3 linked regions of the Xenopus tropicalis genome follow. The protein of the gene in region 2 purifies or fractionates together with the protein of the main gene of each other region. This does not show direct contact. Links are inferred from orthologs where the notes say so. Each region holds a gene or a part of one and is shown on either strand. Other genes may lie near its edges. The genes, in order: mafg, bach1 and fam83d.

Evidence for each region.
Region 1: the proteins of bach1 (region 2) and mafg purify together in Homo sapiens (affinity purification with mass spectrometry; 5 studies listed by BioGRID and IntAct, counting the BioPlex papers as one, with this or other methods). This does not show direct contact. The link is inferred for Xenopus tropicalis from reciprocal best matches to the Homo sapiens genes BACH1 and MAFG.
Region 3: the proteins of bach1 (region 2) and fam83d purify together in Homo sapiens (co-immunoprecipitation; 3 studies listed by BioGRID and IntAct, counting the BioPlex papers as one, with this or other methods). This does not show direct contact. The link is inferred for Xenopus tropicalis from reciprocal best matches to the Homo sapiens genes BACH1 and FAM83D.

What each region holds. Positions count from the first base shown.
Region 1 is NC_030686.2:27,977,680-27,987,890, reverse strand, and holds the start of mafg (transcription factor MafG), read left to right. Parts: upstream 1-3,019; 5' UTR 3,020-4,095; coding exon 4,096-4,146; intron 4,147-9,323; coding exon 9,324-9,418; intron 9,419-10,211. UniProt on the Homo sapiens protein: Since they lack a putative transactivation domain, the small Mafs behave as transcriptional repressors when they dimerize among themselves.
Region 2 is NC_030678.2:16,547,932-16,558,052, reverse strand, and holds part of bach1 (transcription regulator protein BACH1), read left to right. Parts: intron 1-229; 5' UTR 230-241; coding exon 242-514; intron 515-3,875; coding exon 3,876-5,177; intron 5,178-9,512; coding exon 9,513-9,719; intron 9,720-10,121. UniProt on the Homo sapiens protein: Transcriptional regulator that acts as a repressor or activator, depending on the context. Binds to NF-E2 DNA binding sites. Plays important roles in coordinating transcription activation and repression by MAFK.
Region 3 is NC_030686.2:40,351,085-40,361,305, reverse strand, and holds the start of fam83d (protein FAM83D), read right to left. Parts: upstream 5,886-10,221; 5' UTR 5,815-5,885; coding exon 5,365-5,814; intron 327-5,364; coding exon 159-326; intron 1-158. Other genes in the region: ppp1r16b (protein phosphatase 1 regulatory inhibitor subunit 16B), read right to left, coding at 9,299-9,754.

The sequences.
Region 1 (10,211 bases), on a different chromosome or scaffold from region 2:
AATTAGGAAGACATCGGAAGGGTTTTTTTTGCCTTCCTCTCAGCAGCCAGCAGTTTTGCAGGTTATTTATAAGCATTAAGGTTGAACTTGATTCACGTGTGTCTTTTTTTCAACCTAACTTACTCTGGTACTAACGAACACCTAGAAATTTATTTTTTGGTAATGTATGAGAAAAACATGAAAGAAGACACATATCCCCTGCTAATCGATTTGTTAGGAAGACTGGTTATTACAGAGTAAATGCTACAGACTGACCAGGTGGGACTGATTAGACAGCTGGCCAATCAAGAAGCTGAAAGTCTGGCTAGTCGGCCTACATGAGAGCTCTGACTGAGAGACATAGGTGTCTGTGAATCCAACATACAGGAATCTATGTGGCTGTACACACTCAGTTGCCTTTGCAACTGAGTTCTGTAATATTGCTGAAATTGATGTGTCACTGTAATGGAGGAATTCTCTTTTATACACTCTTGTTACATCTGTATCTGGCTATTGAAGTAAGATTTGTATCTGCATGTGTAAATTGCAAGAGGGTGACGGATCTAAGCCTGCTCGTGAGCAGCACAAACCCAAATGCCTGAAGTGCTGTGTATATATGGATATAAACAACAAGTTGCTTTACTGTTAATGTACAAATGCAGCTTCACCAGCACCCAGCCCGGCTCCATTCCTTTATTTTCCCTTTGCACATGTTTGCTGTTGAGTGTGGCCACATGACATGCCACAGCAAATGAGCTTCCACTTTGCTCTGTCACTCACACATTTCTGCGTCACTGACGCAGACCAGGGAGCCAGAGATTCTGAAGGGTGGGAGATGGGAGGCTGCTTCAGTAATTTTCCATAACTTTGTAACAATGCAAGTTATAAATTGTCAAAATTTTTGTCTAGACTTTATATTTTCAATATTATAAAAACATTTTTCATGATTGTTCCCCTTTAAGCAGTTTGATAGTATAACAATCCTCCCTACATGAACCATGTGTCCCTAAGGGGCCCTAATTGATTCTTCACAAAGGACGAACCACTCAACCTATATTATTGTACCTTGCTTCAAATACCATATTTTACATATTCTCTTGCCAAGTGAAAATGAGTCTGAACTCCATTCTTTCTCCACCAATGAACCTTTGTCAGTCATCTACAGAAACAAGGTTGTCTTGAAGGCTATATCCCTTCCAAGTGTTATTTAAATAGTTGCCAGACCTGGAACTTAATAGTGAATATAAACAGGTATTGCACTGATGACATGAACTTGAGTGTATGGAATGGGGGACCAGTCCTCCTTTTCCTACAATAGCCAATTTTCCTTTTGCAAAAGAGTCACTACTTCTGCTCCTCGGAACTACAGCCTCTCCAGAATAATATACAACCATCCACATGGCTTCCAGTTCACACATGTACAAAGTTCTGCTGGCCCATCATAGTTGCCTTGGCTGTTGGACATGCTTTGGACATGCCTTGCTGCAAGTGGTTGCTGGGCCTTCTTATCCCTCCCAGCAGGGCCGGATTTGTCTTCTGGGCGCCCCTAGGCCACCCCCGTTGACCCCCCCCCCCCCCAACGCGCATGCGCGAACGAGTGAACAACCACCTGCGAGCACGCATACGCACACATTTAAAGTCCCATAAGATGTTCCCACCGCTCCGAATGGAAAAAAACTTTAAAAACCCTGTTGCGGGGGGCGTGCCGCCCCTACATTTCTGCCGCCCTAGGCCCAGGCCTTTATGGCTTCTCCACAAATCCGGGCCTGCCTCCCAGTCAAGTTATGGTACAGCTTTTGGATGTCCCCATACGTCTGCAGGACAGGAAGAGCAGCCTAGAGAAAATGAGATTTTCTTACTGGTAAATCCTTTTCTTGGATTTACTGTCAGTGCAGTAAGCCCCCCCCTTATCTCCTTTAGAGTAGTTGGCCTATGGGGTACCTGGCTATGCTGCCATGGTTATACAGTTGCTTAAAATTTTTGTTTTGTTCTTCCTTTTCCATCTAGTTATCCTTCAACAGTTTTTTTATGTACTCTTTCTTATCCTATCCTGTGTTTTTTGTTTTTTTTAAATACAGCCTCATCGCAGGTGAGCCACCTGCACCTGGAGAGAGCTCCTAGCGCACGCAGCCATGTTATTTAGTGCACATTAATAGCTGTGACAAGTAGCTGCTACTAAGTAGCTCCATGTGTCTTCACCCTTAGAGTTGTTAAACTAGGAGTATCTCACGGTTCCACTGTTAATAAAAAGACCCATTTGGATTCCTGGAAAACTACCCATTTGAAAATATATGAATAAACCTCACGCTCCAGGTATACTCTCTTTACAAATTGAACTATCCTCCAATGTGGGAAAAAAAGTAAGAACTTATTATCCCAATGGACTAAATACAAAATATCCTGGTTAGGACGAAGATGTTTATTTTACCAAAACTATATTTTTTTCACTCCCTACTTATTCCAGTACCTAAGACTGGGCTCATTACTTCACAAAAACTTTTAAACAGGTTCATATGGAATCATGGCTACCCTTGTGTTTTGGGTGCCATTTTATGTAAACATAAGAAAAGTGATGGTTTAAATTTTCTCAGTTCATTAAAATATTATCAGGCAGCTCAAATATCTCCTATAACTGTATTACGTTTCCGATTAACACAATTTTTTTGTGGTTAAAATCACAATATGCCAAAAATTTAGAGTAACCACGATAATTTCTGATGTTCGAAAATTATTTTATCGGTCGTACGAAAATATTATGGTTCGTTTTGAAAGTCACAAAATTTTCGGATCTGAACGTTCAGAAATGGCCCAAAAACCTTTCTGGCTTTGAAACCTTCAATGCATGATTTTGAAAGCCTTCCCAACTTGGCCAAAAGATAGTCACGATACCAAAGCTTGAATAAATTCCGAAATGATTGCAGTCTTTACGAAAAATACGACTTTCTTGTGGAAGTTAACGAAAACCACGAAAAAGTTGTGACATTTTAATGAAATTATCGTGGACATTACGAAAAGTTCAATAAATTAGAAAAAATACAATTTTTTCTCAAAAATAAAAATTGTGGTTTAATGAATGGGCCCCTAAGTGTAAGGGATTTCAGTTTTATCCATTTGCCTTCCATGACAAGCAGGCCCTAGAGCCTAGACCCTCAAAGTTTGTTTGTAAACATCCTGTAACTAGGATGAAACACAGTAGTAGTCACTGCAGACTATGAAATATTTCATTTCCAGTAACATGTAATATTTGATGGTATCCTTTAGCCAAACCTTAAACCATGTGACCAGCCTAAGAAAGTCTTGCTCAGCTGCAGCATCTGACTTCAGATCTCCCCTAATGTTGCTTCCTCCTTCCACTTTGGTCCAAATTTCATCCATGAAGTTAAGGATGGATATAAGGCTAAGATATTAATGCTAAACCTCACGTTAGGAAGCATTTTAATAAATATAGATGTTTTCAAAAGAACCCAGGATACTTCCCATAGTAATAGGGTTACAATGCTTACCAACAAAACCAAACCTTCTTTTAGGTAGTTAAATGTTATACTTATCTATTTCTTATCTAAAACTTTTGTCCTTTCTTCATCTTTATGACAATTACAACCTGAACTGCATCTTTGTTTTATAATATTTATTTGAATTTCTGCTCTTTCAAAACATTCCCTTATCTTTAGAATTGTCATCCGACAGACTTCCGGTAAAAAAAATCTTCCACGTTCAGCTACTCCCCTTCCTGTGATATCACATTGTCCAATAAGCACAGATCAGACCTGTGCTGGCTCCCACCTCTTTAAAGCCACAAGCTCCTCTGCCGGGGAACACAGAAATGTGGTTCCAGTGGTACAAATGTATTTTCCCAGTGTATCTTCAGGAGGCAGTTGCTAAACCCATTAGCTGTTGCTAAGTGGCAATCCTATCCCTAGAATAAATATTGTTTGCTGGTCATAAATTCCTGCAAACGCTTCTTTATTTCATCCTGGGCAACGGAGTTACTAATCCTGTAGCCTGCCTCCTTGCTTAGCTGTCCATCTGTCACCCTGCCCTCCTCTAATTCTGATTGGATGTGCTGCCAGAACCTGTGTGAGTGACATGATGCACACTGGGTTCTCCGTTAGCTGAATGGAAACGTTTTCTCCCCCTCCTTCCCCTCCCTGTTGGATAACAGAAAAGGTATGCTTTTTTTTTTCATTTTCTGCAGTCACAGTAGAAATATGAGACATGGGCTCTGTACAGGGAAAATTATTTTTGCACAGCAGCTGTCAGTTGTGTGGGCTCTGAGTTTAGGAACAAAAAAGAGAGAATATTCATTGAAACGCCTGGAGCGGAAAAGGGAATGCAAATTTTTTTGGAGGGGGGTGGGGCATGGTATTCTTTCATCTATATGACAATTACAGGCTGAACTGCATGTTTGATTCATAAGCCCCATTTGCCCTGTTCCAAGGCGTATGGGTCCAGGGGCACTGGAGACAAGCAAGGCTTATTTACAGATGGGAAGGCACACATTGTGTTGTGTTTCCTTTCATCCTGGCATCCTGGGCAATTCAGCTACTGATCATGCAGCCTGCCTCCTTGCTTAGCAGTCCATCTTCTGCCCCGCCCCCTCTGCTTGTGATTGGATGTGCTGCCAGGCACTGTGTGAGTGACATGCCCCACACTGGTTCTCTGTCGGCTGAATGGAACCACTTGCTCCCCCTTCTCCCTCCTTCCCCCTCCCTGTTGGATAGCAGAAAAGGTATGCTTTTTCATCTTCTGCAGTCACAGTGGAAATATGCAATGTGCGCCCTGTATGGGGAAAAGGGTTGCTAACAGAAATTCATAGACTCTCAGCAGGTGCAGAGACTATATTCTCTTGCCTTATAAATGTATTCATTAAATGCAGGCTTCTGGGCTTTTGCCTTATAAATGGATTGAATGTATTCTGCCTGGAGAGCTGTTTTCTGTGCCTCTTTTATTCTTCCCATCTCTAATGTGTACAACTGGGAGTTCTCGGCCTCTCTTGATTAACTGGCTATGCAGGTACTGATAACATGGTGTGAAACTAAGTTTAATACTATATTTGGCGCATATACAGTGGTGTGAAAAACTATTTGCCCCCTTCCTGATTTCTTATTCTTTTGCATGTTTGTCACACAAAATGTTTCTGATCATCAAACACATTTAACTATTAGTCAAAGATAACACAAGTAAACACAAAATGCAGTTTTTAAATGAGGGTTTTTATTATTTAGGGAGAAAACCTACATGGCCCTGTGTGAAAAAGTAATTGCCCCCTGAACCTAATAACTGGTTGGGCCACCCTTAGCAGCAATAACTGCAATCAAGCGTTTGCGATAACTTGCAACAAGTCTTTTACAGCGCTCTGGAGGAATTTTGGCCCACTCATCTTTGCAGAATTGTTGTAATTCAGCTTTATTTGAGGGTTTTCTAGCATGAACCGCCTTTTTAAGGTCATGCCACAACATCTCAATAGGATTCAGGTCAGGACTTTGACTAGGCCACTCCAAAGTCTTCATTTTGTTTTTCTTCAGCCATTCAGAGGTGGATTTGCTGGTGTGTTTTGGGTCATTGTCCTGCTGCAGCACCCAAGATCGCTTCAGCTTGAGTTGACGAACAGATGGCCGGACATTCTCCTTCATGATTTTTTGGTAGACAGTAGAATTCATGGTTCCATCTATCACAGCAAGCCTTCCAGGTCCTGAAGCAGCAAAACAACCCCAGACCATCACACTACCACCACCATATTTTACTGTTGGTATGATGTTCTTTTTCTGAAATGCTGTGTTACTTTTACGCCAGATGTAACGGGACACGCACCTTCCAAAAAGTTCAACTTTTGTCTCGTCGGTCCACAAGGTATTTTCCCAAAAGTCTTGGCAATCATTGAGATGTTTTTTAGCAAAATTGAGATGAGCCTTAATGTTCTTTTTGCTTAAAAGTGGTTTGCGCCTTGGAAATCTGCCATGCAGGCCATTTTTGCCCAGTCTCTTTCTTATGGTGGAATCGTGAACACTGACCTTAATTGAGGCAAGTGAGGCCTGCAGTTCTTTAGATGTTGTCCTGGGGTCTTTTGTGGCCTCTCGGATGAGTTGTCTCTGCGCTCTTGGGGTAATTTTGGTCGGCCGGCCACTCCTGGGAAGGTTCACCACTGTTCCATGTTTTTGCCATTTGTGGATAATGGCTCTCACTGTGGTTCGCTGGAGTCCCAAAGCTTTAGAAATGGCTTTATAACCTTTACCAGACTGATAGATCTCAATTACTTTTGTTCTCATTTGTTCCTGAATTTCTTTGGATCTTGGCATGATGTCTAGCTTTTGAGGTGCTTTTGGTCTACTTCTCTGTGTCAGGTAGCTCCTATTTAAGTGATTTCTTGATTGAAACAGGTGTGGCAGTAATCAGGCCTGGGGGTGACTACAGAAATTGAACTCAGGTGTGATAAACCACAGTTAAGTTATTTTTTAACAAGGGGGGCAATCACTTTTTCACACAGGGCCATGTAGATTTGGAGTTTTTTTTCTCCCTTAATAACGTAAACCTTCATTTAAAAACTGCATTTTGTGTTCAATTATGTTATCTTTGACTAATAGTTAACTGTTTTTGATGAGCAGAAACATTTAAGTGTGACAAATATGCAAAAGAATAAGAAATCAGGAAGGGGGCAAATAGTTTTTCACACCACTGTATATGCATGCTGTACATGGTTCATTGGTCATGTGTGAAAATGTTATCTGTCAACCAGTGCATGGCCACTTGTACTGTTTCTGTATCCGTCTATTTGGCTCTGTGGCTGATCAGTTGGATACCATACAGGTTCTGCCAGTGTACGGACAACTTAAAGGGGACATAGAATGTGTCAGTGCATTATACTCCTCTAAATATAGAAGGAAAGTGAAACATATTCTCACCAAATCCAGTGGAGACCAAAACAATAGTGTGAGTGCATTCAGTTTATTTAGGGATGTTTAAGAAAATATGTTTTGGATCACTAGGGATCCAAGTTGAAACCTTTTTGCAGGGGCCGTTAGGACATGCTCATTACTCATTTCATACATGGACAAGGGGCCATAGATGGGACAGCTGGGAGCTCCAATAAAGGGTCCTTTTTTCTATAACTTTATTAGTTTTAGAAGGAAAAAAAACGAGATAAACAATATACTTGAAAGGTGAAAGTTACAGGAAAAGGTTCCATTGTTAAAGGAACAGTAACACCAAAAAATGAAAGTGTATAAAAGTAACTAAAATATAATGTGCTGCTGCCCTGCACTGGTAAAAGTTGTGTGTTTACTTCAGAAAGTCTACTATAATTTATATAAATAAGCTACTATGTAGCCATGGAGGCAGCCATTCAAAGGAGAAAAGGCACAGGCACATAGCAGATAACAGATAAAACACTATTGTATTCTACAGAACTTATCTGTTATCTGCTATGTAACCTGTGCCTTTTCTCCTTTTTCCAGCTTGAATGGCTGCCCCCGTGGCTACACAGCAACTTATTATATAAATTATAGTAGTGTTACTGTAGCAAACACACCAGTTTTACCAGTGCAGGGCAACAGTGCATTATATTTTTATTACTTTAAAGCTCATTCATTTTTTAGTGTTACTGTTCCTTTAAAGCTAATGATCACTTTAGTTCAGAATAAAACCTGTACCATATACAGATATGGAACCTTTTATCCAAAATGCTCAAGGCCTGGGGTTTTCCAGATAAAGGATGTTTCTGGAATATGGATCTCCATACATTAAATTTACAAAGAAATTATTTAAATATTAAAAAAAACGCAATGGGACTGTTTTGTCTCTAATAAAGGATTAATTTTATCTTAGTTGGGATCAAGTAAAAGGTACTGTTTTTAATTACAGAGAAAATTCAGAGACTTCTGGATAATGGGTTTCAGGATTAACCTGTATTATTCATTGCCTATAAAATAAGGGAGGTTTCAAAATACGCTTTATGACTCCTTGAAACCCTGTGTTATGCTGGCAAACATAGGAATGTTTATTACTTATCTTTCTATTCAGACCCTCTCCTATTCATATTCCAGTCGTTCATTTAAGCCACTGTCTGGTTGCTAAGGTAACGAGATCATAGCAACCAGATAACTACTAAAAAAAAGCTAAATAACTGAAAAACCACAAAACTAAAAATTGAAAATTGCCTCAGAATATCAATGTCTACATCACTTCAACAGTTAATTTAAAGGTTACAGTCCCTTTAATATATTTCAGTCTTTGATAAATATGGCCCAATATCCAGTGCCCTCCATGTCTGGGACAAAGCTACATTTTCCTTTGATTTACACCTCTGCTCCTCAGTGTAAAAGTTTAAATGAAACAATTCAGATGTGATTAAAGTGCACATTCCAGGCTTTAATTTGAAGGTATTTGCAAATGTTTCAGTTTCACTATGTAGAAATTACAGCGCTGTTTATACCTAGTCCCCCTCATATCAGGGCACCATAATGTTTGGGACAAAGTAATGGTAGGTATATTAAAGTAGTCATGTTTAGTACTTTGTATCCCTTGCATGCAATGACTGCGTGAAGTTTACTCTAGTGCAGCCATCATCAACTCCTGCTTGTTCCAGGCGTTTATCAGCATTTGGAAGGCTCAATTGGATTTAAATCAGATGACTGGCTTGGCCATTGAATAATTTTCCATTTATTAGCTTTTAAAAACTCCAGTGATTCCTTAATGTTTGGGATCATTATCTTGTTGCAGGCTGAAACTCCATCCAATGAGTTTGGAGGCATTTACTTGAACTTGAGCTGATAAGATGTTTCTGTACAGCTCAGAATTCATTGTGCAACTGCCATCAGTAGTTACATCATCAATAAAGATAAGTGTCATGGTTTGGGCAGGTACAGCTGCCACAGGTACTAACACCCCCGCCACCATGTTTACCAGATGAGTTGGTATGCTTTGAATCTTGGGCTTTTCTTTTTTGTCTCCACACTTTCCTCTTGCCAACACTCTGATACAGGTAAATCTTGGTTCCGTCTGTCAATAATACCATTTTCCAGAATTCTACAGGCTCTTTTAAGTACTTTTTTGCAAACTGTAATCTGGCCATTTTTGTGGCCAACTAGTGGTTTGCATCTTGCAGTGTAGCCTCTATATTTCTGTATATGAAGTCTTCTGCGGACAGTAGTCTCTGACAAAGACACACCTGCCTCCTGATCTGCTGGACAGGCATTTGAGGATTTTTCTTCTGTCATGAGCAGTGGAGGTCTCCCTTGACGATTACAGAGCTCGCCAGTGCAGTCTTTCTTAATGATATTCCAGACAGTTGATTTTGGTAATCTTAAGGTTTGACCGATGTCTCTAATGGTTTTATTCTTGTTTTTCAGCCTCATAATAGCTTCCTTGACTTTCGTTGGCACAACTTTTCTCGTCATGTTGAACAATGGCAGCTACAGACTCCAAATGGTAAAAGCAAGCCTAGGTATCTTATCCCTGCACTAATGAAGCAATGCAACACACCTAATTAATCACAAACACCCACTAAGTCTGTTGTCCCAAAACATTATGGTGCCCTGCTATGTATAAAAAGTGTTGTAATTTCTACATGGTGAAACTGAAATGTATACAAATAACTTTAAATTATGAAAGTCTGGAATGTGCACTTTAATCACAGACAACATGGACGATACTACTGATAGAGTGCAGCAAACATGGATGTGGTCCATGGAGGTTCTGCATACACCTACTCCTATGCTCTAGTTTTTAGCCTAAGGGACACATTTTCTTTTGTTTTTTCTCTCCATGGCTGTGTTATTTTCTGTCTTACTCCTTGTTCACATTGTCTCCACACTACTAATTTTCAACAGGAACACAATAAGTTTTTCTGCTAATATTCTGAAAGGAATTGTGTCAGTATCGCTAGAAAATAGACTAGTATATAATTTTTTTTTTGCCTAAATTCTTCATGATTTTATTCACTCTACTTGGGGTCATATTTACCAAAATGCTAAATTCCACCTCCTATATCGCCAAAAGCATAGATAAGGTGGAATAGGAGTGGGATATTAGCATGGCGCATATAACATAGATATGAAATGGTAATGTGTGTGCTGCACCTTTATAATGGTTTTTCTAAATCTGGCAAAGTAGAATTGGTGCCCTTGATAAAGTGGCGTATTTTAACACTGGCATAATTACACCTTGCAAAAAGACATGTTCACCATTAATTTGTCAACATTTGTCATGTTGGCGTCTTGGTAAATTGCTGATGCCTT
Region 2 (10,121 bases):
CGCAGTCTGTCTATTTTACCAGTTTCATTTTTACACTGAACTGTTCCTTTAAGAGTGATGGACAGGGGTGTTTTGACTGTTGATGTTTCTGGCAGCCAACAGAAAGCCCCGTATTGCTTCAGAAATATTCCAATATTCCAATAAAGCTATCCTGACATATATACATGTGTGAGTGTGTGTTGCACTGCTGTTAGGGAGTATAATAGTAATGTTCCTTTGTGCCCTACAGCTGCAGTGATAGATGGAAGCATGCTCTGCGAGTCTGCAGCCCAGGATGTCTTATAATGAGAAGAATGATGCCGCCTTTGCCTACGAGTCTTCTGTGCACAGCAGCAATGTTCTGCGTCGGCTTGGCAGCCAGAGAGAGCAGGGGATCCTTTGTGATGTGACCGTTGTTGTGGAAGATCAGCGATTCCTGGCTCACCGGACGGTGCTCGCTGCCTGCAGTGACTACTTCTTATCGCGGCTCGTTCAGCCGTGCGATGGCGATTTTATCATTACGTTGCCTGAAGAGGTGAGAATGCCTTCTGTGTAGGGGCACTTGTGCAGTCTACTCAGTGCTTCTGTCCATCCTCCCTGCCCTGCATTTTGTCAGATGTTTAGTCCTCCATTGATTGACTACAGTACAGGTATGGGATCCCTTATCCAGAAACCCATTATCCAGAAAGTTCCGAATTACGGAAAGGCCATCTCCCATAGACTCCATTTTAATCGAATACTTCAGAATTGTAAAACTGATTTCCTTTTTCTCTGTAATAATAAAACATGTTTTATCATTACAGAGAAAAAGGAATCATTTAACCATTAAATAAACCCAATAGGGCTGTTCTGCCCCCAATAAGGGGTAATTATATCTTAGTTGGGATCAAGTACAGGTACTGTTTTATTATTACAGAGAAAAGGGAATCATTTAACCATTAAATAAACCCAATAGGGCTGTTCTGCCCCCAATAAGGGGTAATTATATCTTAGTTGGGATCAAGTACAGGTACTGTTTTATTATTACAGAGAAAAGGGAATCATTTAACCATTAAATAAACCCAATAGGGCTGTTCTGCCCCCAATAAGGGGTAATTATATCTTAGTTGGGATCAAGTACAGGTACTGTTTTATTATTACAGAGAAAAGGGAATCATTTAACCATTAAATAAACCCAATAGGGCTGTTCTGCCCACAATAAGGGGTAATTATATCTTAGTTGGGATCAAGTACAGGTACTGTTTTATTATTACAGAGAAAAGGGAATCATTTTTAAAAATTAGAATTATTTGCTTATAATGGAGTCTATGGGAGATGGCCTTTCCATAATTCTGAAATTTCTGGATAATGGGTTTCCGGATAACAGATCCCATACCTGTACTATTGTATAGAGAGAGGCATGCTGTACTCCCATAGGCGGAGGGTGACTTTTTTGTTTGGGGAGGCTAAAGATGGGCCATACAGAGTCTGACCTACAGCTAATGTGAGACTTAGTGGATTTGCTGCTGGTGTAAAAAATTAACCTCCCAACTATCTCTTGCCGTTCCCACTGACTCCCAGGGATTCTGTGCAAAAGTGTGGGTGGGAGGGCTTTTTTACCCTAAAATGCTTAGGATGTAAACGTATTCATACGTGTGCTTCTGTTAGGGGGTCTCCATCCATTTGTGTTTAGGATCAGTTAGCTTAAAGGGGGGGGGGTCACCTTTAAATTAACTTTTAATATAATGTAGACATTGATATTCTGAGACAATTTGCAATTGGTCTTCTTTTATTTTTAATGGTTTTTCAGTTATTTAGCTTTTTGTTCAGCAGCTCTCCATTTGATTTCAGCAGCTATCTGGTTGCTAGGGTCTTATTTATACTAGCAACCAGGTAGTGGTTTTAACAAGAGATTGGAATATGAATAGTTAAGGGGCCTGCATGGAAAAATAAGTAATAAAAAATTACAATAATAATAAAATTGTAGCCTCACTTTTTGGCTGCCGGGGTCAGTGATCCCCATTTGAAAGCTGGAAAGAGGCAGAAGAGAAAGGCAAATTTCTCAAGAACTATAAAAAAATTAATTGGGAAGACCAATTGCAAAGTTGCTAGGAATAGGCCATTCTATAACATACTAAATGTTAACTTAAAAATGAACCTCCCCTTTATATGTGTTTAAGTTAGTTTTATAGAGAGAGAGGCAGTGGGTACTGACATCCCAGGCACATTATATATAGTGAGACGCAGTCTGTATTTACAAAACCAGCATATTACATGCCATGAGAAGCAGTGGGTACAGATGGCTGATATTCTGGCCCTGGCACTATAACACTGGCACCAATACACAACATTGGCCCCACTGTAACTATGAACAAAACAATGACAAAAGTAAAAAAAAAAATAGTAAGTGCAAAAAACAACAAATATATAAAAGCACAATGAGCTTTTTCAGGGGGAAAGAGTTAACTTACCATTCATATGTTAGGGTAGGGGATAGGGATATTATAAATGTCAGATCAGGCAAAAAACTATTTAATTTCAACTAGTGATTTAGCCTTTAGAACTGTATAGTACCTGTGTATAGCACCTGTGTATAGAACCTGGGTACAGTACCTGGGTATAGCACCTGTGGGAGTGGGATGAAATCTCCAGCAAAAGTTGAGAGTTGGTTCTCAGGTAAAGTTACAGTCTGCAGATTCTTCTTTTCAGTCTTTATTTCTGCACTGCCTTCAGTTTGCAAAATCACCCGATCCCTGTGCGCATCTGTGCTTTGATTGGTCAATTTTACTGTCAGTCAAGAAAGCTGTGCTCTGATTGGAGAATCCACAAGAAGAAAGATCCAGTTGGAGCACAGCATAATCGGCTTGCAGGTACAGAAGGTTTCCAGGGCAGTGCAGAAACTGAATGAGGTTTGTTTTTTTTGTTTTGTTTTTTCAAGGTGCCAAGCAGGTTTGGGGAGGCTTAGCCTCCCCTAGCCTTATTGAAAATCCGCCTATGTGTACTCCTGCTACTGTGGAATAACTCCCAGCTCTGCAGCTAAGGCCATACTAAAAGTTAAAGGCCTAAAATGCCGCACGGTTGCTGATTAAGAAACCTTTGTTAACATTCCTTTTTAATTTTTTTTTTGTAATGTCTCAGAATAGTACTTTCTACATTATACTACAAGTGTATTTAAAGGTGAACTGCGCCTTTAAATAACATTGTCATATTTTGTACTTATCTGCATGTTCGCATCAAATCACTAGGAGCAGCCATGATTGCTCTGATTGTGTCTGATGTATTTTGCTTTCCAGAGGCCAAACAATGATATAGTATATGATTGTATTTAAAAGAAGAAAGAGCCACACAAAGCTGTTATTCCATATCTATAACTATGATGCATACTGCTGATTGCAGTAGTTTGACAACTTTCATTGTGTCACTGTTATAGTGCAGCATAGTGCAGGCATAGATCCCAAAAGCAGTTCGTCCAGGACCGTGGATTCGGCCGAATCCAAACCTTGTTGAAAGAAGTTGAATCCTGGCCCAATACCGAACTGAATTCTGGATTCGGTGCATCCCTATCCCCCAGGGAATATAATTGCTAACCTCGGTACTTACCATAGGAACACCGTGCCACAAATCTTACTAAATTTCCCAAATACTCCTTGTGGCTGTTGAGGACAGGGCCACCCACAATGTGCATGCACTTTGCAAAGTAACAGTGGGAAATACCATATAGAGCACCGCTTCTAGGGTCCCTTTTCCAGTAAAGAGGGGTGCCATCCCAGGGTTCCAGGTTTGGGTATATATATATATTCACAAGCTTTGCCCACCACTGTGTTCAAATGTGTTACATGTATATAACCGAATCAGTAAATGCACGAGATATCCATATATGTGTGCAACATCTATAAAAAGGCTCTTTTCTCTTGTAGGTAACCGTGAAGGGCTTTGTTCCATTATTGCACTTTGCTTACACCTCCAAACTCCACGTCAACAAAGACAACCTATTAGCAATCCAAGAGTGTGCAAAGATTTTGGACATCCATGATATAGAAGAAGCCTGCTTTGAGTTTCTCAAATTAAAATACCAAGACCTCAAAGCCGACCTTCAGGAATGCCCTCGGAAGAAATGCTGCAAGTCGTTTTGTCCTAAGGCAAACGTTCAGCGTCAGCCTGACGTGCCCACCAACGTCGGAATAAATGAAGTTGAGGAACTTTGGAGAGCAGAGCTCCCCTCAAAAATCAAATGCGCGGCTGAGATTGAAAACATATCGACAGTTTCCGAGAGTCCAAAGAAGCCCTGTGAGACATTCTGCTTTGGTCGGGAGAATGACCCCGACAGTTCTGCCCTTTGCCCAAAATACAGGAAGTTTCAGAAAGCCTTTAAGAGCGACCGGGTTCGATCGATAAGCACATGCTCCAGCAACCAGGATGTTCCAAGCCCATTGCCTGTCCAGTCGAGTGAGGCTTCGGAAAATGTTGTTATGGCCAGATCCCAAAATCAGCCTCTAGAAATGGAGAGGAATGAGTTAAATCCACAGGACATCAATGTTACATACCTCAACCTCCCTTGTGAGGAAAAGACCAGTGGCAAAGCTGAGTTCCCTCCTAGTTTTCCCCTGGGACAGCAGGATTTTAACCCTGCGCCATTTCAATGTTCATTTCAGCCCTACAGAAGCTTAAACTACAACGAGGTGCCGGACCCCACTATAGAAGTTCTGCCGGAGAAGCCCAACAGTGACCAGCATGTCAGTCCGACAGCTGATTTATCCAGCACAAAGGAGCTACCAGGACCCGATTTGTGTGTCCCCGAGGAACGCAGCAATGTAGAAAGGGAAGTAGCGGAACATCTTGCAAAAGGCTTTTGGCCTGATATTTACAACAGCGAATTTCATTGCCAGCCAGAGATAGAAATGGTGCCTAATAATAAAGAATCACGTGAGGAAAGTAATGAGGAAAAAAGGCAAGAGTGTCCGTGGCTGAACATCACCATCAGTGAGGGCGGTGAGAGGACTTTTACAACTCTGAACTCGGTCTCTTGCCCCTTCATCAATACCCTCTCCAGCGAGGGCTGTGCCAACAACTCCCAACTCATGCTGGAGGAGTGCATTCAGGAGAAACAGCAAGACACGACCTGTCCATATGCATGTTCCATGACTCCCGAAGGCGACTCGGAAACGGACAGCGAGGACGACAGTGAGGAGTCCTGTTCCGCTAAAGAACAGGAATGTGAGGTAAATCCAGGTTGTTAGATTTCAAGTCCAGGAAGTATATCACAAAAATGGTGTCCCCCTTTTTATACAGGTATGGGACATGTTTTCCAGAATGCTCGGGACCTGGAGTCTTCTGTATAACAGATCCTTCTGTAATTTGAACCTCCATAACTTAAGTATACTAAAAAATATTTTAAACATGAATTAAAAACAATAGGATTGTTTTGACTCCAATTAGGATTAATGATATTTTAGTAAGAATTAGAAGTAAGAAGTAGTAGTAGTACAGGTATGGGACCTGTTATCCAGAATGCTCGGGACCTGGGGTTTTCCGGATAAGGGATATTTCTGTAATTTGGATCTCCCTAACTTAAGTCTGCTAAAAATCATTTAAATATTGAATAAACCCAGTAGGATTGCTCTGCCCCCAATAAGGGGTAATTATATCTTAGTTGGGATCAAGTACAGGTACTGTTTTATTATTACAGAGAAAAGGGAATCATTTAACCATTAAATAAACCCAATAGGGCTGTTCTGCCCCCAATAAGGGGTAATTATATCTTAGTTGGGATCAAGTACAGGTACTGTTTTATTATTACAGAGAAAAGGGAATCATTTAACCATTAAATAAACCCAATAGGGCTGTTCTGCCCCCAATAAGGGGTAATTATATCTTAGTTGGGATCAAGTACAGGTACTGTTTTATTATTACAGAGAAAAGGGAATCATTTAACCATTAAATAAACCCAATAGGGCTGTTCTGCCCCCAATAAGGGGTAATTATATCTTAGTTGGGATCAAGTACAGGTACTGTTTTATTATTACAGAGAAAAGGGAATCATTTAACCATGAAATAAACCCAATAGGGCTGTTCTGCCCCCAATAAGGGGTAATTATATCTTAGTTGGGATCAAGTACAGGTACTGTTTTATTATTACAGAGAAAAGGGAATCATTTAACCATTAAATAAACCCAATAGGGCTGTTCTGCCTCCAATAAGGGGTAATTATATCTTAGTTGGGATCAAGTACAGGTACTGTTTTATTATTACAGAGAAAAGGGAATCATTTAACCATTAAATAAACCCAATAGGGCTGTTCTGCCCCCAATAAGGGGTAATTATATCTTAGTTGGGATCAAGTACAGGTACTGTTTTATTATTACAGAGAAAAGGGAATCATTTAACCATTAAATAAACCCAATAGGGCTGTTCTGCCCCCAATAAGGGGTAATTATATCTTAGTTGGGATCAAGTACAGGTACTGTTTTATTATTACAGAGAAAAGGGAATCATTTAACCATTAAATAAACCCAATAGGGCTGTTCTGCCCCCAATAAGGGGTAATTATATCTTAGTTGGGATCAAGTACAAGGTACTGTTTAATTATTAAAGAGAAAAAAGAAATTATTTTTAAAAATTAGAATTATTTGCTTATAATGGAGTCTATGGGAGATGGCCTTTCCGTAATTCGGAACTTTTTGGATAACAGGTTTCCAGATAAGGGATCCCATACCTGTACTAAGAAATAGAGGGTACATTTTTTATTATTACAGAAAAAAGGGAAATGATTTTTAAAAATTTTCATAAAATGGGGGGTATGGGAAATGGCCTTCCCAAAATAACTTTTTGGATTAATTATAATCCAGAGCCTTCTGGATAGTGGGTTTTTGGATGCCAGATCCCATACCTGTATACGAAAGCTTATTGGCAGGGTTTCATAACGGTTTTTACCCAAAACACTTATGATAAGGTTATTTTTTACTGTTGCCTATTGCAGGATATTTCACACTTATCCTAGTTTTATCCTTGTTTGTTTATATTTATTTATAACAAACAATTAAAGTGCTGTGTAACTCGCTGGCGCTATAGAAATAAATGATCATAATTTTAAAAAGGTCAGGGAGATACACACTAAACAGACATACACAGACCTTGGCATTTGGCCAGTTCCCCTGACAGACGTATTTAGCCACCCAGGTGATCCTTGAGCCAGTGATTGGATCATATAGGATCATATACAGCCGTATCAGGAGGACTGCATTCATAGCTTGATATTGTCCTCGCCTGATGGGATTTTCTGCCCGTCCCAAATAGCTATTTGGCCTCATGTATGGACTCATAAACCTATAGTGGCCCATGTATGACTGGGCCATGATGTAGGGGAAAAAGGAAGTTTTGAGGAACACTTTTGCTTAAAAATGTTTGAATCTGGTGCTGGCAATGTTTAATTGGTGAGTTTATGTTGAACTTGATTGAACAAGTATAATTTCGTTATATTTGTAGTGCTTTTGCTCCCTGGATTCCCGGCTGGGCATTACCTTGTAGTGCCTAGCTAGGTATCCTGTGACCAGAAGCTCCACCAATTAAACAAAATGAATTTCAAGTTAATGTATGTTTAAGACCAGTTAATGTATGTTTCACCCTCTCCAACAAATATACAGATAAATGACATAGGCTGTTTGTAGTATGTTGTATGCCCTTTAGTAATATACATTCATTCTGATTCAGCAGATGTTTAAGCCAAAAATATGTTCTTACATTGTCCTCTCAATACAAACCTACATGGATGATTCTAGTGCAAACGTCATTCTAGGAAAGAGCCTCTGAGTTCATATAGTCATACTTGGCACCAAGTTGGTTCTTTAAGGCGTTGCGTGTCTGCGGTCGGCTCTTTGTTTACAAGACAACATGCAGCACAGATCAAACGCACAACATAGATCAAGCTGAAAAGAATGTACTGAGCTTTTCTGTAGGTGCTATATAGCTTATATGCTATAGCCCATGGCTTACAGGGATTCTATTGTCAAAATAAAGCATGTCTGATTCCGGGAAACAGTGAATCATTTTATATAAAAGCTGGGGAAAGTAGATTTTCATTGGGTTATATGGACCCAGACACAAAGGTCGCCTCCAGTTTAGTAACATAGTAAGTAACATAGTAAGTTAGGTTGAAAAAAGACATATGTCCATTAAGTTCAACCATAATGCCTATATATAACCTGCCTAACTACTAGTTGATCCAGAGGAAGGCAAAAACCCCATGTGAAGCCTCTCTAATTTGCCCCAGAGGGGAAACAATTCCTTCCTGACTCCAAGATGGCAATTGGACCAGTCCCTGGATCAACTTGTACTGAGAGCTATCTCCCCTACCCCTGTATTCCCTCACTTGTACTGAGAGCTATCTCCCCATACCCCTGTATTCCCTCACTTGTACTGAGAGCTATCCCCCCTACCCCTGTATTCCCTCACTTGTACTGAGAGCTATCTCCCATACCCCTGTATTCCCTCACTTGTACTGAGAGCTATCCCCCCTACCCCTGTATTCCCTCACTTGTACTGAGAGCTATCCCCCCTACCCCTGTATTCCCTCACTTGTACTGAGAGCTATCCCCCCTACCCCTGTATTCCCTCACTTGTACTGAGAGCTATCTCCCCTACCCCTGTATTCCCTCACTTGTACTGAGAGCTATCTCCCCTACCCCTGTATTCCCTCACTTGTACTGAGAGCTATCTCCCCTACCCCTGTATTCCCTCACTTGTACTGAGAGCTATCTCCCATAACCCTGTATTCCCTTACTTGCTAAAAAGCCATCCAACCCCTTCTTGAAGCTATATAATGTATCAGCCAGCACGACTCGGGGTGGGAATCCCACAACTTCACAGCGCTCACTGTAACAAATCCTTTCCGAATATTTAAATGGAACCTCCCTTCTAAACGGAGGGGGTGCCCTTGTGTCAGTTGAAAGGACCAAGTCTTGACACCTTTCCAGAAAAGTGGAGATCTAGACTTTCTGCAACGACACTTCTTGAGATCCGACTCACTTCTGTAGTGATAGGGGAGGATCGGGAAGTCATACGATGCAGGCAGGAAACATGTAGAGCAAGAGTCCCCAACCTTTTATACACATGAGCCACATTCAAATGGAAAAATTGTTGGGAAGCAATACAAGCATTAATAAAATTTCATGGGTGCCAAAGAAGAGCTATGATTGGCTATTTGGTAGCTTATATGGGCTGGCAGCCTACAGAAGGCTCTGTTCAAACTAGTGCAGAGCAGGAAGCTATATTTGTTTAATAGGGTTAATGTATGTCTTTAATAAGTTGTGATAGTTGCTTATTATTTCGAAGAAAGAACTTTATTCACCACTAATTTCAAATTCTATCTGTAATGAAATTTCATGCATCAAGGAAATCCAAATGTCTAATATTTTTGTCCTTCATTGGACTTTTACTAAATGATATATTAATTTCCATTGGTATTTATATTGGTATCTTGTGATGGTTTAATTGCAGAAGTTATGCATATGGTTTTTTACATTTTATTTTTTTGCTAAATTTGAACATTTTTTCCCCAGACAAAACTGCCATTCAACGCACAAAAAATAATTTCCCTTTCCCGATATGACTTCCAATCACTGGTCAAAAGGCACAATCTCTCGGCCGAGCAGTTGGACTGTATCCATGACATACGGCGCAGAAGTAAAAATCGAATAGCTGCACAGCGATGTCGCAAGCGGAAACTAGATTGCATCCAGAACCTGGAGTGTGAAATCCTTAAACTGGTATGTGTTATTTTGCTGAAATGCCTCTTCCTTATATTCGTCATTAAATATCTATCTTGTTTATAGTTCTTATCAGGAGATTCCGTTACTCTATTCTAACAGATACACTTAGTCGCCCGCGACAAATCTCCCTGTTCGCGGGCGACTAATTTCCCCGAAATGCCATCCCACCGGCGAAAATGTAAATCGCCGGTGGGATGGCATACGCGGCGGCGCGATTTCAGTGAAATCGCGGAAGTTGCCTTGAGAGGACATTTTTGCTGGTGGGATGGCATTTCGGGGAGATTAGTCACCCGCGAACAGGGAGATTTGTCGCGGGCGAGTAATCTCCCCGTGTGCCAGAGCCCTAAGAGGCCACCTTTATTGTTAGGTCAACACACTAAGATTTTCCAGTATTTAGTA
Region 3 (10,221 bases), on a different chromosome or scaffold from region 2:
AATGAAACATGAACAGAACTATGGACATTGGGATGGAATAGCAATAAAAAGGCAACACAACGCTTAGGAGTCTGAGTAACATTTAGACGGCAAAACGGGGTTGCCCTGTTCCTTTTCACTATTTGTGACCCTAAAAACCAATTAGACTACTTATTCACCTGCTCGGTTTCAATGGAAATCCCCAGATTGTAACACATAGTAAGGAAGTGAGAAACTTGCGTCTGGTCCAGCAGAATGTAGACAGGGACCCTACGTTTCCGGCAAGCCTCGTGGATATCCCTGAATATGTCATTATCAGTAAAGTTGTCCATGACCAAAGCAATGACCTGTAAACAAAGAACAAGAACAGATACAAGAATAATTATATCTAGATCTAGTATGATATGTGCTAGGGCTCTGGCCTCCGTCAGACCCGGATTGGCATTCAATACAGGCCTTGGCATTTCAAGTACACAGAGTCCCAACCAGCCTCCACTGGCCCAATAAATAGTGACTGTCTATGGCACCTTACAGCAGCCCCTCTGGCATTTGCCTGAACCCACAGATTGCCAGTCTGGGCCTGGGTCCTGGTATTCCAAGTACCCAGAGGCCCAAACAGCCCCCCCAGCCCAATAAATAGTGACTGTCTATGGCATCTTACAGCAGCCCCTCTGGCATTTGCCTGAACCCACAGATTGCCAGTCTGGGTCTGGGTCCTGGCATTCCAAGTACCCAGAGGCCCAAACAGACCCCCCCCCCCCCCCCCAGCCCAATAAATAGTGACTGTCTATGGCATCTTACAGCAGCCCCTCTGGCATTTGCCTGAACCCACAGATTGCCAGTCTGGGCCTGGGTCCTGGCATTCCAAGTACCCAGAGGCCCAAACAGACCCCCCCCCCCCCAGCCCAATAAATAGTGACTGTCTATGGCATCTTACAGCAGCCCCTCTGGCATTTACCTGAACCCACAGATTGCCAGTCTGGGCCTGGGCCCTGGCATTCCAAGTACCCAGAGGCTCAAACAGCCCCCCCCCAGCCCAATAAATAGTAACTGTCTATGGCATCTTACAGCAGCCCCTCTGGCATTTACCTGAACCCACAGATTGCCAGTCTGGGCCTGGGCCCTGGCATTCCAAGTACCCAGAGGCTCAAACAGCCCCCCCCCAGCCCAATAAATAGTGACTGTCTATGGCACCTTACAGCAGCCCCTCTGGCATTTACCTGAACCCACAGATTGCCAGTCTGGGCCTGGGTCCTGGCATTCCAAGTACCCAGAGGCACAAACAGCCCCCCCCCCAGCCCAATAAATAGTGACTGTCTATGGCATCTTACAGCAGCCCCTCTGGCATTTGCCTGAACCCACAGATTGCCAGTCCAGGCCTTACAAATAAAGATAACCCCCTCTTATAAATATGGCATATTTCCCCTTTAAAGCTCTGATTACCTGGCTACAAACTGGGTCTGCAGAAAACATGAAAAAAAAAGCTCAGACACAATAACAATCAGCTACCAAAACACAAATAAGGAACCATAAGAGAATTATGGATAAGGAGTAGATTAACTGCCTTTATTGGTAGCCAACGGTTTTTATTTTGGTGGCACTATAGGAATACAGTATACTGATCCCTGATGGTTCCAACTCTTGCAATATTAATGCAGTGGCAGAAAAAGAGGGGAATGGAAGCATCTGCAGAGCCATAGGACAAGCACAGGCACATAAATGCCAGACTTAATTGGGTTTTTATTTTCCCAGCATTGTCAGAAGTCCCTTCAGGGAGTACAGTAATGTAGATACTATGCTTACAGTGCAGTGGGTGTTTAATTGCTCAGGGTAACCCCCAAGGGCATAATAATAATAAATGCACACAAGCAGTAGTCCCCATTGAACCAAGAGCCATATATTTATATGGGGGCGGGGGGTGCCTTGGGCAAGGAGGTTAGTAACAATTTCAGTTCTAAAACCACCTTTATTCAGTATTCAGACAAATGGGACCTCTACCTATTTAATCATAATTTAATTTAAAAAAATAATGGTTCTATTCTCCATTAGGCGTGTAAATCAGCTGGTTTCTGCTATATTGTTTCAGAAGTTAGAACCAGTAGTGCAGAGAACATAAACAGAATAACTGAAAGACGAAAGGACCAGCGACACCATGGTTTCCTAGGCTCCTCCACTGGCACAGACAGATTGCTTTAGAGCCCTGACTAAAGCGTATAAATAAGTTGCTGTGTAGCTATGGGAACAGACATTTGTGCTAAACCGGGCAATAGGGCACAAGCCTGCACAGCGCGTGACAGATGAGCTCGAGACAAAAGCTTAGAAACAAGGGCACTTGTTTCCAAGGAAGAGTCTTTGTAAGCTAGATGAACAGATTCATACGGTAAAGGGAAAAAAGGATTTTCGCATGATAATCCCGGGGGTCAAGCAATGTTATCTATATATCTGTTTTGGTTTTTTTTTTTATTATATATATATATATATATATATATATATATTTATTTAGTAGGCCAGTAATTAGCAAGTGGTGGCCCTATAGACCCAACTTAAGGCATCAAGAGTGCTCAGCGACTAAAGAAAACGACTGATTACCAGGGGTTCCAAGTTAAGAAAAGCGCCTCAAGTGACAGTGTCCCACGGGTTACCGGGGCAGGTAAAAGCTGCTTCTGGTAACCTTAATTTTTAAAGAGCTAAAATTCCATTTTTTAAACTGGAAATACAGCTCCTATAGTGCAGAAAGAGCAATTGCACTAGTAATGTGAACCCTCCATGCCATTGTAGGGGCACAAAAAAGCTCTTCTGGTCAGCATTGCAAGTAAAAGGGCACGGCTGTTCAAATTTTTTACTTATATGGGGCAGAATATTGCCAATGTGGGTGGCAGTTACCCTTTTTTGGCAGGGAGTTTATGGGAGAAGAGGACGGGTTCCTCGGGGGTGATCCTCTAGAATTGGAAGGGCATAGTCTTTTCCATCATACATTAACCATTATTGTGGGCTTAGGGTAGTGGTCCCCAATCACTAGTCCGGGGACTGGTGCCGGGCCATGGGCTGTGCTGAACAGGCCACCTCTGGTCCCAATTACCTGTGATCCCAACTCCCCGATGTGTTACACAGCCATGACAGCTATGTGAAGCCCAGGAAGCTTTCTACTGATCACGACAAGGACCAAAGTACTTGTATTATTAAGCTGTATGTAATAATAATAAAGTGCATAACATAACATTTAATAATTACATTATATATGTAATTAAATGATATACTATGAACTAGTTGTGCCACCCCCCCATCCCTGGTCCTTGGAAAAATTGTCTTGCTTGAAACCGGTCCGTGGTGCAAAAAAGGTTGGGGACCACTGGCTTAGGGGTTAATTCTATGAATGAGAGGAAAAAAGAAGAGCTTTTTGGAGATATGAATATACTTGCCATATTTAACCGCCCCTGGCACTGCAAGCATACCTCCTGTATTACAGGGTCCCCTGAGGGGACTGCTGACAAAGCTGGGGGAATTCTCACAAGGCACCCAGAGTCCTACAGTTTGTTTCATGATGGAACTTGCCGTGTCCCACCTGCAGTAACAGGCACCCCTTCCCTGCTTGCTCATATCCCACCCATACCTCAGCATTGGGCTTACACATTCCCTCTGGCTTCAAGCAAAACAGTTAAATGAACATCTACAGAGCAAACGAGAACCCAAAGGGGACATAGAGATGATTTGTTTTTAGATACAGTGCAAGCTTGGCTCAGGCTACACCGGACGATGCTGGTAGTTGTAGTTCAACAAGTGACAAATCAAATTAGTAGCTGCTAGAAATAAAATCTTTTTCCTTGTGTGTTAATATGCCACCCTAAAAACCCACTATTACAGCAAGAAGTGACAGCTACAAATATCCCTGAAATGCCATCCCACCGGCGATTTACATTTTCGCCAGTCGCGTATGCCATCCCACCGGCGATTTACATTTTCACTGGTGGGATGGAATTTCAGGAGATTAGTCACCCGCGAACAGGGAGATTTGTCGCAGGCGACTAATCTCCCCGTGTGCCAGAGCCCTAAGGGAGTCGCCCGCGAACAGGGAGTTTTGCCGCGGGCGACTAATCTCCCCGTGTGCCAGAGCCCTAATGGTACACAGGGAGATTTGCAGCATTTTCTCCCCCCAGGGATTTATTTACTTCAAAGGAGTTGGGTAAGGATAAACAAACCCCTCCTTAATGGAAAACAGCACAGTCACATCTTGTGGCTTAAAATGCAGAGACAAGGCACAATGGTGGCATTTCCCATTCAGTTTAGTGGAGGGGGGTGGTTGCAGGACTTTGTTCTCCTCCCTTGAAGCAATGAATCACTGGGGCGACTGGGGGAGCCTGGTCCCCCCCCTGCCTCCCTTGTAGTCCTACCACTGAGTTGGGCCCAAACAAAGGATAAACAAGCATACCTTTCAGTAGTAACTTGCATTTACAAATAACCATTGGAACTCTATAAAGGATACTGAAAAGTTGCTTAGAAATGTTTGGGTGCATCTCCCCTTTAATCCTAGTGTGTATCCTGTTTCTCACTCCCACCCAAGGCTGTTTTATGGCATTTTCCCAGGGGACAAGGGGGGCCCTTGAAAGTAAAATAAAAAAAGCTATTAGGGCTGTGACACAATGCCTTCCCCATGGGCTAAAATGTAAATCGCCGGTGGGATGGCATACGTGGCGCCGCGATTTGCTGAAGTCGCTGGTTTCCTCTTAGGGCTCTGGCACATGGGGAGATTAGTTGCCCGCGACAAATCTCCCTGTTTGCGGGCGACTAATCTCCCCGAGTTGCCATCCCACTGGCGAAAATGTAAGTCGCCGGTGGGATGGCACACGCGGCGGCACAATTTCGTCAAATCGCCGAAAATGCCTCACAAGGCGCAGCGTGTACCATCCCACCGGCGACTTACATGTTCGCCGGTGGGATGGTAGTTCGGGGAGATTAGTCGCCCGTGACAAGGGAGATTTGTGCCAGAGCCCTCAAGGCAACTTCGCCGACTTTCGCAAATCGCGGCGCCGCGTAAGCCATCCCACCAGCGATTTACATTCTAGCCAGTGGGATGGCATTGTGGGGAGAATAGTCGCCCGCGACTAATCTCCCCGTGTGTCACTGTCCTTATGGTGAAGACACACAGAGCTACGAGTAGCAGCTACTTGTTGTGGCTACTAAAACAGACAATGCTGATCATTTACTGATAATTGTCTCTACGTGTGTTTTAGCAGAGGCAATTCTCAGTATTGTCTATGGCAGGGGATTTTCTGGTGTTTTGTAGCCGTGACAAGTAGCTACTACTAAGTAGCTCTGTGTGTCTTCACCCCTAAGGAGACAGTATCCCAATACTAGGGGGGGACATTCCCGATTTGCCCCCAGCCCTACCTCTCGGGCCGATTTGATGAGCTCCCGGGCCGCCTCCTTGCAGGTATAGATGGTGTCCCCGAAGCTGGGCTGGAAGTGCACATCCACCCGTGTGACGCCGCGGTACGAGCCGGTGCTGAAGGCCGGCCAGCCCAGCTCCAGGATAGGCGGCTCCACGTCCGAGCGATCGGGGAAGTAAGTGACGGACGAGCAATCCACCGAGGCGGACACGGAGTTCTCCTCATCCCCGCACGGAAGCACCGAGGCGCAGCCCAGGATCTCCCCCACCTCCGGCTCCGACAAGAAGTTCGGCAGCCGCTCCCGCTTCAGAAATCCCCGCATGGCTTCCGGGCCCCCGGATACTAATTCCTCCACCGCCAGTCGGTGAGCCTCGTTATAGTGATCCGGGGGGCCCTCCGGCCAGCGCCCTCCCATGGGCATATCATCCAGGCACTGGGAGTTATTAGCCATTATTGGCTGCTAGGGACCTAACAACCCGGAGCCGCTCCGGGAACAGAACTGATGGGCTGTGAGACTAGCGTACTTATCGGGCATTTAAATCCAAACAAGCCCGGGGAGCGCGCTAATTGGTGGAGCCAATCACACCCCCGCCTGCTGATTGGACTAGAAGCACCCAGAAACGCCCATGCTGTCAATGCCGAGCGCTCACTGGCCAATTAGCTCAGTACTGTACTTATGAAAGGGAAAGGCTGGGAAACCACTTGTCTGCTGCCTGAGTGTCGGTTTGTCCCCAGGGCTTCACAACCATAGGATTATACCAAACATGGAAAAGGAGGGGGGGGGGAGGAACTACTATGTCATCTATATACTGTACAGTAGATTAGATCAGTGGCTCTCAACCTTCCTACTGCCACCACCCTTCAATACAGTTCCTCATGTTGTGGTGACCCCCAACCATAAAATTATTCCTAAAACCATGGGAAATATGTGTTTTCCCAAAGGGATCCCGACCCACAGGTTGAGAACTGCTGGATTAGATGAAATATAGATAGATAGATAGATAGACAGACAGACGGATAGACAGATAGACAGACAGACAGACGGACAGACGGACAGACGGATAGACGGACAGACGGATAGACGGATAGACGGACAGACGGACAGACGGACAGACGGACAGACGGACAGACGGACAGACGGATAGACGGATAGACGGATAGACGGATAGACGGATAGACAGACAGACAGATAGATAGATAGATAGATAGATACATGATAGATAGATAGATACATGGATAGATAGATAGATAGATACATGATAGATAGATAGATACATGATAGATAGATAGATAGATAGATACATGATAGATAGATACATAGATAGATGATAGATAGATAGATAGATAGATAGATAGATAGATAGATAGATGATAGATACATAGATAGATGATAGATAGATGATAGATACATGATAGATAGATAGATAGATAGATACATAGATACATAGATACATAGATAGATGATAGATAGATAGATGATAGATACCAAACATGGAAAAGGTGGGGGGGGCATCATTTTAGGTAGGACCCCTTAGTGATATCCCCAAAGCATCAAAGAAGCCATTGACCACCAGTTTCACCCCTTCAATCCACATATAACCCTAAACCCCTGCTCCAGGACTGTGACTGGCTGGCCTGAAGTATAACCCAACAGGGACGCAATGGGGCAGCTTGTACTGAATGCAAGCCCATTGGCATAAAACCCAGCGGCTAGAACCTGGCAGAAATGCTCACCCATACCATACCTCCCAACATTTAAAAAATGAAAAGAGGGACAAAAAGATTTGGCGCGCGCAGCATGGCAATTTTTGACCACGCCCACTTTTGTAACCATGACCCAATTACCACACCCCATTTTTAAGAAAAAAAAAATACTCCTTTTATATAGTTGAAATGGCAGGATCAGACGCAAAATGTGCTATACCCTCATACTGTACTACCTAAGGGAAATGATATAGCAACTCATACATATAAAATACAAATATAGAGAGAAGGCAGTCAGTTATAAGTGAGTTATAACTATGTACCAGTTTTGCCCCCAATGGCCCAATAGATAGTACCCCCCATACACAGTTCCCCCATACACAGTAACCCCCATACAAAGTGCCCCATAGACAGTACCCCCCATAAAGTGCCCCAATTGCCCCCATAGACAGTACCCCCCATAGAAAGCACCCCCAATTGCCCCATAGAGAGTAGCCCCCATACACAGTGCCCCATAGAAAGTGCCCCAAAAGACAGTACCCCACATACACAATGCCCCCATAGAAAGTGTCCCCAATTGCCCGCATAGACAGTACCCCCCAAATACAGTGCCTCCATAGACGTTCCTTCTTCTTCTGCGGCTCCTTAAAGGGTCGCGCCCCGTGTGTACATGTGACGTCAATACGCACGGGGCGCAGCCTTATAAAAGGGCCTGTTGCCGCCGCACAAGGAGAAACATAAGTAGCCAAACTGCAGAAGAAGGAGCGTCTATGGGGGCACTGTGTATTTGTCCGGGACAGCGGGATGCACTATAAAAACCAGGACAGTCCCGCAGAAAGCGAGACATTTGGGGGGTATGCCATAGGAGCACCCCTATTTAGCTCTCCCGCCATATTTTCTAGGTTTGAGATACTAAATCGCTGAGAAGCTGTGAGACACCCTTAATAAGGGATCAGAAAAAGACACAAGTGACTCTCCTTAAAATGAGCTTTATTATAAAAGGAGCTTGGAATACACTGAACCTGTAAAACGTTTAAGGGTCGCGGCTGATTATCGTGGGGTACACGTGCGTAATAACAGGCAAATACCGCTCTAACTCCATATCAAACCCCTCTCTGCATGAGATTTATTGCCTTGAAGTCAGTCCAATCTTCCTGCAGATGTGGGGGGGTGAAACTGCAAAGAAAAGTGTTTGCTGTAGGGAGCAATAGTGTACTGGGGAGACTATTTCCTGCTACCCTTCTGACTACCGGACAGCAGTCCTGCTTTGCTTTTCGGCAGGAATTCTAGTCCTACACTGAATATCAGAGCGCAGGTCCCACAAGGCAAAGCCAGATACTTATTAACACTCACTACACTGCTGCCTGTGGGTGCCTGAGGCAGAACAGAAAGGAAAGCTTGGCTGAAGCTGAGTAAACAAAAGCACTGGACAAATATAAATATATAAATATATGAAATATGAACCTTGGAAGGGCAGAAAAGAACTCCGCACAAGTAAAGGCTGCAGTAAATCGTGTGATGATCCCTTTTAGGCGTTTATTGGGCAGAACTGGCAGATCAACTGCCTCCTTTCTGCTGTCAAATTCTATGTTTCTTGGTTACCCAGTTCAGATCACAGGCCGGTTCCCCTGACCACTAAGGACCATAGTGTATTAATTACCCCATGGTGTCTTAGGGAGAACTGCAGTACTATGTCTTTAATCATCCTCCAACAACCCCCATAAAGGGAATAGGAAACGCTCTGCCTATGGCAGACACTGTGGTGCCAGCTGGGCAAGGCCGAGTACTTCTCAGCAGCGCCCACTTATGCCCCATTTGCCCAAGTTATACCAGTCCATTACATACAGCAGTCAAACTGTTGTAAATAAACAGTTCACCCTCAAATTTACACCCCTCTGCATATTTACACCCCCGCAGTACCTGTACAGAACTATACAGCTCTGTGGATATACATTGTCGTGTATATACAGATATAAAGAGCCCTGCATTTACAATGGTAGATTCTGTACAAGTATACACTACATGGTGTACATACAGCCAGATTTGTGTACAGAAGAGGTACTTGTAAAACTCTGTATAGGCAGGTAGAGTGGGGTGTTCTATATACAGCTAGATACAGGTCAGTATTTACAGGCATACATGACTTCCTATGTACAGATATACATGAAACTAGCATGCATTGCACTTGTACGCTATTCCAGAACATTCTCTCAAAAGCCACGGCCTCCAGTTTAGGATATCCGACAGCAATGCAATATTCTCGTCTCCTCCTCTTCCTCCATGGGAGATTTTAACCTCAGGATGGGAGGGTCCCCACTGGTTGGGGTATAGTAAACGGGCCCCCCATTGGAGCACCAGGGAGGTGTGCCGGGGCTGTTATAATCTAGCCCTGTGAGCCTCTGCAAGTCGCTATTGTTCTTTAGCATCAGTCTCCCCTGTTTGGCTGCAGACCTTTGCCTTTTCAGTTCAGACAGAGTTAGGGGGGCTTGGTCCAGGATGCTGCTCCACAGGGGGCTTCCGGTATAACAGGGCAGGGAGTGGCTGATGTTACCGTTTGTAAGTGGCGTTGGCACCGGGATATCAGGCAGCGGAGAAGGGCAGTAGCAGGAAGGCAGAGGAGGGCAGAATCCATTCCGGAACTGGGATTCAGAAGGGCCCAGTGTTTGCTCAGAATCCAGAGAAGCTCTCTGTGTAGAAGATTGAGAAGTTAATTACTGAATGATAACAGATTATCATTACATTCTGGTGGCTATGGCACAGGAGGGTTGATTGCCGCAGCAGCAACTCAACTGCTCACTTTACTTCCATCGCAGATTGTAAGATTTTAGGAACAGGGCTTGCCAATCCTAGTTTTATTCTGCAACACTTCTATTTGTAGCATTTGACCAGAAATACTGGTCAAATGCTACAGATCAAAAAGCCAACTGGAAAATAAAGCTGCCAGTACACAGGCCAATAAAAACTGGACACTTGGCCTCTCCTGATCCAAGTTGCCAGATTATTGGCCTGTATATTGGGCCATTGGGACAGCCTTCCTGACCTATGGAGGGTCCTCCCCAAAGGGTCTCCAGACCTATTGACCAAAGATCAGCATAATTTGGCACTGCACATGAGTGGCCAAATTGGGCAAAGATCCATTCACGATTTATTAACT